Linked DNA regions of Neodiprion lecontei. Each later gene encodes a partner of the first gene's protein in a complex. Links are inferred from orthologs where the notes say so. Each region holds a gene or a part of one and is shown in the gene's direction. Other genes may lie near its edges.

Region 1 (3,589 bases):
ATTTTCCTTTCCCCTTTTAATGCAAGATTAAATAAACAACAGTGCCAAGTTCGGTCACCCTGTTATCAAAAGTTGGACAATCATATGATGAGATACAGTTGTACAAGATAAAACACTGAAGGAAAGTAAGACGTTTATTTGTACTTTTTCGATTGCGTCCCGATGCGGTTGACGGTGTTTTCATAGTCTTTGAGGAGGTGTTCGACATCGCCGCCGGCAAAGCTTCCGCATTCTCGTTGTCATCGTCGATAAGTGTCCGCTGATCTGAAATTTTAACGGAGACGATCCATTGGTTAGGGATGGCGAGGAACTCTTTCCATTTCTCGCCGTCCGATTTGAGAGGGCAATCTAACGGCGCGTGTTAATATTGACATGCTTATTGCTTACGCTTTCGAGTGAGGCGTTGGAATTGTCGTTGGGGTGCCGGCATGCCGCTCTCGTCGCTGCTGTGCTTCCTCTTCCGCACCATGTTTACCTTTCCAGAACCACAGGAACGTCGTAGACAGCGTTGAACCGATCCGCGATAACCGACGACAATTTTCACTGACGGATCAGAATTATTTGACGGCTAATTAAAATCTGTCACCCGTCTCTTTTCCCGCTATCGTTGCTTGCTCCCGCTGTTTTGCCCGTTTTTGCACCGCCTTCGGCGTTGAATAACGCTTTTCTCGTTTCAAAGTTTGAAACCGTTGATCGGGGCGCTGCTGCCAGCTGCCTTGGCATGAACTCGATTCATTGCCTTAGAATAACGACTCACAAGTGTATCCAGGGACATGCGTGAAAACGCGCCATATTTTACAGTCGAAAACTTCTAACAAGTCACGATCCCAACTATCGACTCGTTCGCGGGGTGTTGAGTGAATTTCATGCCTTCACATACTCTTTGGCGTTCACTTCCTTACAATGTTTACTCCGTCGATAATTGCGGTATAGCACTGACTTTCAGGTGTACTTTGTCTTGCCGTTAAATAAGAATTGTAAATAAATTATAACCGCGTAATTTTCCACTTATAAAATGTTTAAGAGAAAATTAAAAGCGCTAGATTACATAGACCGGGATAAGATAAACGCGAATGGTGAGTCGCAACCGGTTAGCCGGTACACATACAAAAATTTAACCTCCGGTCTCTCACAAGAGCGATAACAATTTTTCTGAAATTTCAATAATATCGTCTTTAGACCCACAACACTTTCGCAAACTGGTCGTCTGGCTCGAAGACCAAAAGATACGTCACTACAAAATTGAAGATCGAAAGGACATCAGAGATATAAATTCAACCAGTTGGCCCGAAACGTTCAAGAGATATTGCGAGGACGTCGCTTGTCCGATAACTACCCAGCCCGTGGATCAGCTCGAATGGTTGATCGGGTTTGCCATCAAACTGGAGTTCGAGGATAACTGTAAGAACCGTACCATGTTTGTTTGGGTACTACTGAATTCTATTTTCAGGCACTTACGAAAATTTGAGTTTCATTCAATTCAAACTATTGCAGATAAAAAGTATCAACCGATAACAGGCAAGAGTTTGAAAGATATGAATAAACCGGTAGCACCCAACATAAAATCATCAAACCCGTTAGACAATCTGGACTGTGAGTATTATATTTCAGACAAAACTTTTTGAACTTACGAACATGACAAATACCGGTATTCACATTTTTTAATTCTATTTTCGATGATTAAAGTTCACAGTGCAGAGTTTAAGAACGGAATTGAAGAATTACGAAAGCTACTTTGCATTCCTCGACATTCAGATCACCTTGTAACTCTGCAAGCGTGCAGTAAGATAGTTTGCATGAGACTGAATGCAGAAACTTTATTAAATCCAAAATCGATAGTGTTAAAGGGAAAAGAGTTTCCGATATTGGAAGCTGAGTTGGGATTCAATATGGGAGATCCAGTTCTGAATAATGCGGCAAAAATCTTGAGATTGCTGTACATTCAGGATTTGAGGGACCTTCAAACACGAATAAATGAAACAATTGTCAGTGTTCAAAATATCACTGCAAATCCAAGGACTGATACGAAGCTTGGAAAAGTTGGAAGATAAACAGTTAGTCATTACGATTCCCATTGCACATTTACACACACGAATGGGATGTTAAAAATTTTGCTGACGTTCATTGGCTAATATTGTTTGATAACAATAATTGATATCAATTTCTAACAATGAACCAAGTACTGCTATTTATAGACAAATTGATTCGTCATATGTTAGGCGTATTTGAATAATGGAATGTAACGATAGGTCAAAACTAATAAATAATTATAATATACAATCGCATTACATTCGTTGATTGTCTTTTTTCACTTGCTTGTATTGATATCGAATGAATTTAGATGTGAGGAATTCTTTGAAACCTAAGTTTAATGGATAAGAATATAACTCAGATTTCACAATATGTTTATAATAAATATTTATTGTATGGATAAGAGTAGAGGAAAATTTGCAAGTAAAGAACTTTTTACTCGTTTCATAACACAGTTTCTTCTTTTTTGTGTTACAATAAAGCTGGTAGTAACTATTTATCATGACGAATGTACAGAGGCAGTTTGGAACGTGATTTTTCGCAATGTGTATATAGATTATTTTTAAATTATTTACAAAAAATTGCGTAATTAATTAATCACTAGACAGCGATCAGAAGTCTTAATTTGTTACATCATTGCGATTATAACTAGACTTGGTGAAATAGAATTCATGATTGGATAGAATAACTAATAAGGATATGTTTATGTATAATAGTTGAGGAGACTTGATTTAAAATTTAAAGTGAATGTAAACGACTTAAGAGCAACTGACGAAAAAAAAGCTTATATGAAAGATACATAGTTCAATATTTCTTTCAAATTCTCATATATTTAGATTTATAAAACTAAAGCTTAATTTAATGTGAAAAAAGACAGAAATTCAGTTTCCTCCCGTAATAGGCTCAATTATAGAATAGGATTTTGAAAACGTCCAGTTTTTTGATCATCCATAGCTCGTAAGAACCCGCCTACTAATTGATATTTGATGCCTAATTCTAGAAAAGATTTAAAAAAAAAAAAAAAAAAAAAAACGCATCTTCAGCAGTTGACAAGTAATTCTACCAGGATTTCAACACGTCTGTTCTTCGTTGCCGTCACCGTTATATCGTGTTTATAAATTATAAAAGAACTAAGAGAGCCTGCATCTGCCTTTGTTCCCGAGTGGAATCTCTTCCTCTTGACAAGACTCGATCCTCCCGGTATTTTCTTCATCTTGAAGAGAGGCTTGTAAGGCCCTGGCCAAGGCTTCGTCCTCGCTGATAGTTCCTTGAAGATTCGTAAACAGGCTAGAATTGGCATTTTGATTATTCTGTGGGACTTGACTCTCGGCCTGTTTGTTAAGAGCTTCAACCCTCCGCTGACGCATGGTTTCCTCTTTTCCCACACAAGCGTGATCGCAGGGATGCCGGTGTTTCAAGCAAAAGTTTTTCCCGCAGTCCCCGCATTTGACCGCGACGATTTCCTTGATTTTGCAGCCCTTGGACGTACACTTGTTGGTGAAGACTTTCCTCCTGCTTTTGGCACGATCTGCCTGACAGTCGTTGTCTATATGCAGAC
Region 2 (3,934 bases), on another chromosome or scaffold:
CGCTTGAGACTTTTCCTGAACTTGCCAGAGTCTTTAAAATGAAGAAAAGACATGCGGAGGTCGAACTCGAGGATCTCAAAATGTCCGTAGAATTGGAGCAAGTAGACGTCAGAACAACGACTGAAAGCAGTGTTATCACTGTTAATTAAAAGTTATCACTCATACAGAGTCCTTTATTCCTTGCTGAATACCAGCGATATGTCAATGTGGAAATAGTTAGAGATTCGTGGCAGTTTAGATCGTTAGCGCATCCCAAGATTGGTTGGCGCAGGTATCACGTGGTTCGGACCAGATCCACACTGAACACACGTTGATCATTGTGTTCCCTAGCGTACGGAAATAGCTGCTGCGACAATGCTGTGAGTTGGGGAGCGATTCATTGACCATCATTCGGAAACGAAAGCTGCTGATTGGCTGATTTTCAAATATTAACTAATCATGTGAGTTTCTCAGTTCTTTCGTCTTCGAAAGGTGGCAAATAAAATACACCCAATAACCGGCCAGCTAGGGAACTCAACGGTCGATGTGTGGCTCTGGTTCGAAACACGTAACAGCGCGCCAGCCAATCCTGAAACGCGCTTAGGATCTAAACTCCACGAATATATTCATTTCTACATTGGTATAGCACTGGTGTTCAGCAACGAATAAATAACCCTGTAAATTCTTTGATTATATAGAGACTGTAACGGCAGCCTTCAAAGTCATTCAGAATTTTTACAAATTCAATTTCAAAACAATGATGAATATTTTTCTTGCGAAAGTTCAAACTTGTACATAGAATTTTTTAACATCCTCGTTACAGCAGAGCGTTGAATAAATTATATTTCCTAGTTCGAATATCGTGAAATAAGTTTTTTTACCAAATCTATGCCACATACTTTTAGTGTGAATTCGAATTAGCCCGCGGTTCAACCATGCAGTGTGATGGTACTACGGCAACGATGAGAAGTTAGTTGTGAGGTTTAGACGTCGGTATGATGATTTGTGCCGCTTGGTGCTGCCACGCACCGCACAACAATACTCCAAGCATCCAACGGATGCTGTACGGTGGCGTCCTCTGATCCTGAGACTTCATATTTTCAAACTGGATAACCATTGATGACTCGCCACTCTGGTCTGTCAGGCAAACAGACGGAGGAACAGCTGATTAGCGTCTTCACGTGGGTAATCAGCTGTGAGAGCTACGATGGAAGATTTATCAGCAGAAGACCTAGCGATTCCGCCAATCAAATACGAATGTAAGAATATTAGTATAACGCTTTTTCATATTCCTTTACGTCATGTCAACAACCCGTAATTTCACAATTATTGTACGCCGGATCAGGCCGGCAAGCGTGAGCTCATATATACATGCACACAGTGTACATCAGCCGACCCGAACGCAAGATTTGGCGGGAAAACGAACGGGTTTCTAAAAACTTACCAGAAACCCATATTTTCGCATAAAATTTTCATTCTCCGACCATTATTACGAAAAAACGAACCACAGATTTACTACCGTTAAAAATTTGAATTATTATGGACGATCTTATCTCGATCACGCAATTATTTTCGCCTATTACGCGAGATAAGAAAAAAAAAAGGGAAAAGTTACCGCATTTTAGGAGCATGGCAATCACTGTTATGAAACAATATTTTCCAAATTTTGTTACAGATTTGGACCACACGGCTGATGTGCAGTAAGTTGTTGAAAAATAAAAATTGATCACCGCGCGTATGCATATCTATGTACAAAAATCCCGAGTAGGTATATTCTGTTCTGATAGTTCTCTGCCATTTATACGTTTGACTTTGTGTTAAAACGACATTGTAACAACACTACGTCATCGAAAAAAATAAAATTCGAAATAGAATGCGATCTATATACTCGTATTATTCCGTATACCCAATTGGTCGTTTTGAGAAGATGAAAAAAAAAAAAATTAAAATAAAAGTACGAATAACGGGATAAAATAATTTGCTGGGAATAACCAAACGAACGATACGATCATCAAATTTTGCGACAACTTCTGGTAATTTTGTAGCACATAGACGTACATGATGCATAGATATGCGCGTAAAACCTGTAAAGAATACCCAGGAGGTTAGAGTATAGAAAGAATTTAATATTTTATAGATTGCATGCGTGGGGAGAGAGTTTGCAGGAGGCATTTGAACAATGCGCTATGGCCATGTTCGGTTACATGACGGATTTGGACCGAGTAGAAATGACGGAGGTGCACCACGTGGAAGCCGAGGGAGACGACCTCCACAGCCTGCTATTTCATTTCTTGGATGAACTGCTTTTTATGTTCAGTGCAGAGCGTTTCATCATTCCCAAAGTGTGTGCGTTTATTTTGTTTACCCGGAATTTAGTCGCTAACCGCCGTTCTTGGAACGTCCAAATATCTCGCTAACCTTCAAACGCACAATTGTTGTTCGAAACGGAAAAGATTCCACGCTTGTATATAAATGGACGGAAGAAATGATGCCGAGATTCAAAATCGATATTACTTTGCACGGTTTTTTGGTTAAAAATAAATATATCTATCCTAATATACACGTACACCAAAAGTATACCTAAACATGTGTACGCGGTGCAGTATTACCGGAAGGGAACAATGACACACCCTGTACACAGTCCATTCCGGCCGTTATTTGAGTATACTTGAAAATGTACAACATGTGTCTCCACTTTACGTTGCACATGACGCCTAGTAGGTACGTTGAGACTCGCCACGGTAGATAGTTTACATTCACAACTACCTACATTCGTCAAGATTGTAATCTGTCTCTTGGGTAACATGGACGTAGATACGTTTGTAAAAAAAAAATACATATAATATTCAATCAGCAATTTTTTTCAAATATTCACCGATGAAAGGAGCTACGATTAGGAGATAAATTTGATAATAATAACAATAAGAACAAGAATTTTTTTTCTTGTCGGCAGAAAGTCAAGATCACTGAAATGGATCAAGAGAACTTCAAGATCAAGGCAACGGCAATAGGAGAAGAATTCACGCTGGGAAAGCATCCTCAGGGTACAGAAGTAAAGGCTATCACCTACTCAGCAATGCAAATACTCGATCGGCCGGACGCCGAGAGACCAGAAGTATTCGTGATCATCGATATTTAATCCGCTGTAGTAACCCGAGCAAGTTTCCCGACGCCTCGCGTGGTTGAGCCATTCGGACCCTTGGCTTGGGAAACACTTTAATTTCGAGGGAGGGATAGTTACCTCTCCTCCTCAGGCCTTTTGTAGATCGTAGGGTTCGAATAAATACGTTACGAAAGAAACACCGGGCCCCCTTCTTAGCCTCGGAGCGCAGGGCCGTGTCAACGTACGCGTGGACCTCCGCCCTCTCACTTTTATTTCTCCTTCCCGCTTCTGTTTCTTCCGATAGAAGACGTTCCGTCGATTCGTATACTTTTTTTACTAGATCCTCTTCATCGAAATTTTAAGGATCAAATAATGAGGTTTATTCATTTGTATTTATAATTAGACGTGGCGTTACTAAATCGATATGACCTAAGGAACAAATGTTAATACTATTTTCATCGAAAATATTCGTAAAAATCTGTTCGTGACATGAAATGACATAACTGTTTGTACTTTTTTGTATACGAATACAATAATATATCTCACGGTTTATAATAACTGAACTTTAACCCAATTCTGAAATGGTAAATCCCAATGATTTGCCAAGTCCCTCGTGCTCTTGATAATAATTGTAAGTGATGTAACCGCTAGTAATTCATTATAACGTGCTGCGATTACAGTCACATTAAAGAGTCACATAGGCGCATCTGCTCTTAAAATACATTATTGGTGCAATAATGCAATCATGCAGTGCACGTGCGTTCAAGATTAACCTAGTGCTTAGATGCGTATTCATTCGCCGGCTGTTATGTTTCAGTAGTGGAATGATCGAATGTACAAAGTCTCTAATAT

Evidence for each region.
Region 2: RNA transcription, translation and transport factor protein (region 1) and protein archease-like share a complex: the UniProt entries of both Homo sapiens proteins name them as parts of the tRNA-splicing ligase complex. The link is inferred for Neodiprion lecontei from reciprocal best matches to the Homo sapiens genes RTRAF and ZBTB8OS.

The regions. Positions count from the first base shown.
Region 1 is NC_060266.1:184,716-188,304, forward strand, and holds RNA transcription, translation and transport factor protein, read left to right. Parts: upstream 1-892; 5' UTR 893-1,015; coding exon 1,016-1,076; intron 1,077-1,179; coding exon 1,180-1,401; intron 1,402-1,494; coding exon 1,495-1,593; intron 1,594-1,686; coding exon 1,687-2,051; 3' UTR 2,052-2,799; downstream 2,800-3,589. Other genes in the region: probable serine/threonine-protein kinase nek3, read right to left, coding at 145-264, 388-469; AN1-type zinc finger protein 2A, read right to left, coding at 3,162-3,589. UniProt on the Homo sapiens protein: RNA-binding protein involved in modulation of mRNA transcription by Polymerase II. Component of the tRNA-splicing ligase complex and is required for tRNA ligation.
Region 2 is NC_060263.1:23,993,382-23,997,315, reverse strand, and holds protein archease-like, read left to right. Parts: upstream 1-1,083; 5' UTR 1,084-1,098; coding exon 1,099-1,238; intron 1,239-1,654; coding exon of another isoform or gene 1,655-1,679; intron 1,680-2,116; coding exon 2,117-2,321; intron 2,322-2,932; coding exon 2,933-3,118; 3' UTR 3,119-3,640; downstream 3,641-3,934. UniProt on the Homo sapiens protein: Component of the tRNA-splicing ligase complex required to facilitate the enzymatic turnover of catalytic subunit RTCB. Together with DDX1, acts by facilitating the guanylylation of RTCB, a key intermediate step in tRNA ligation.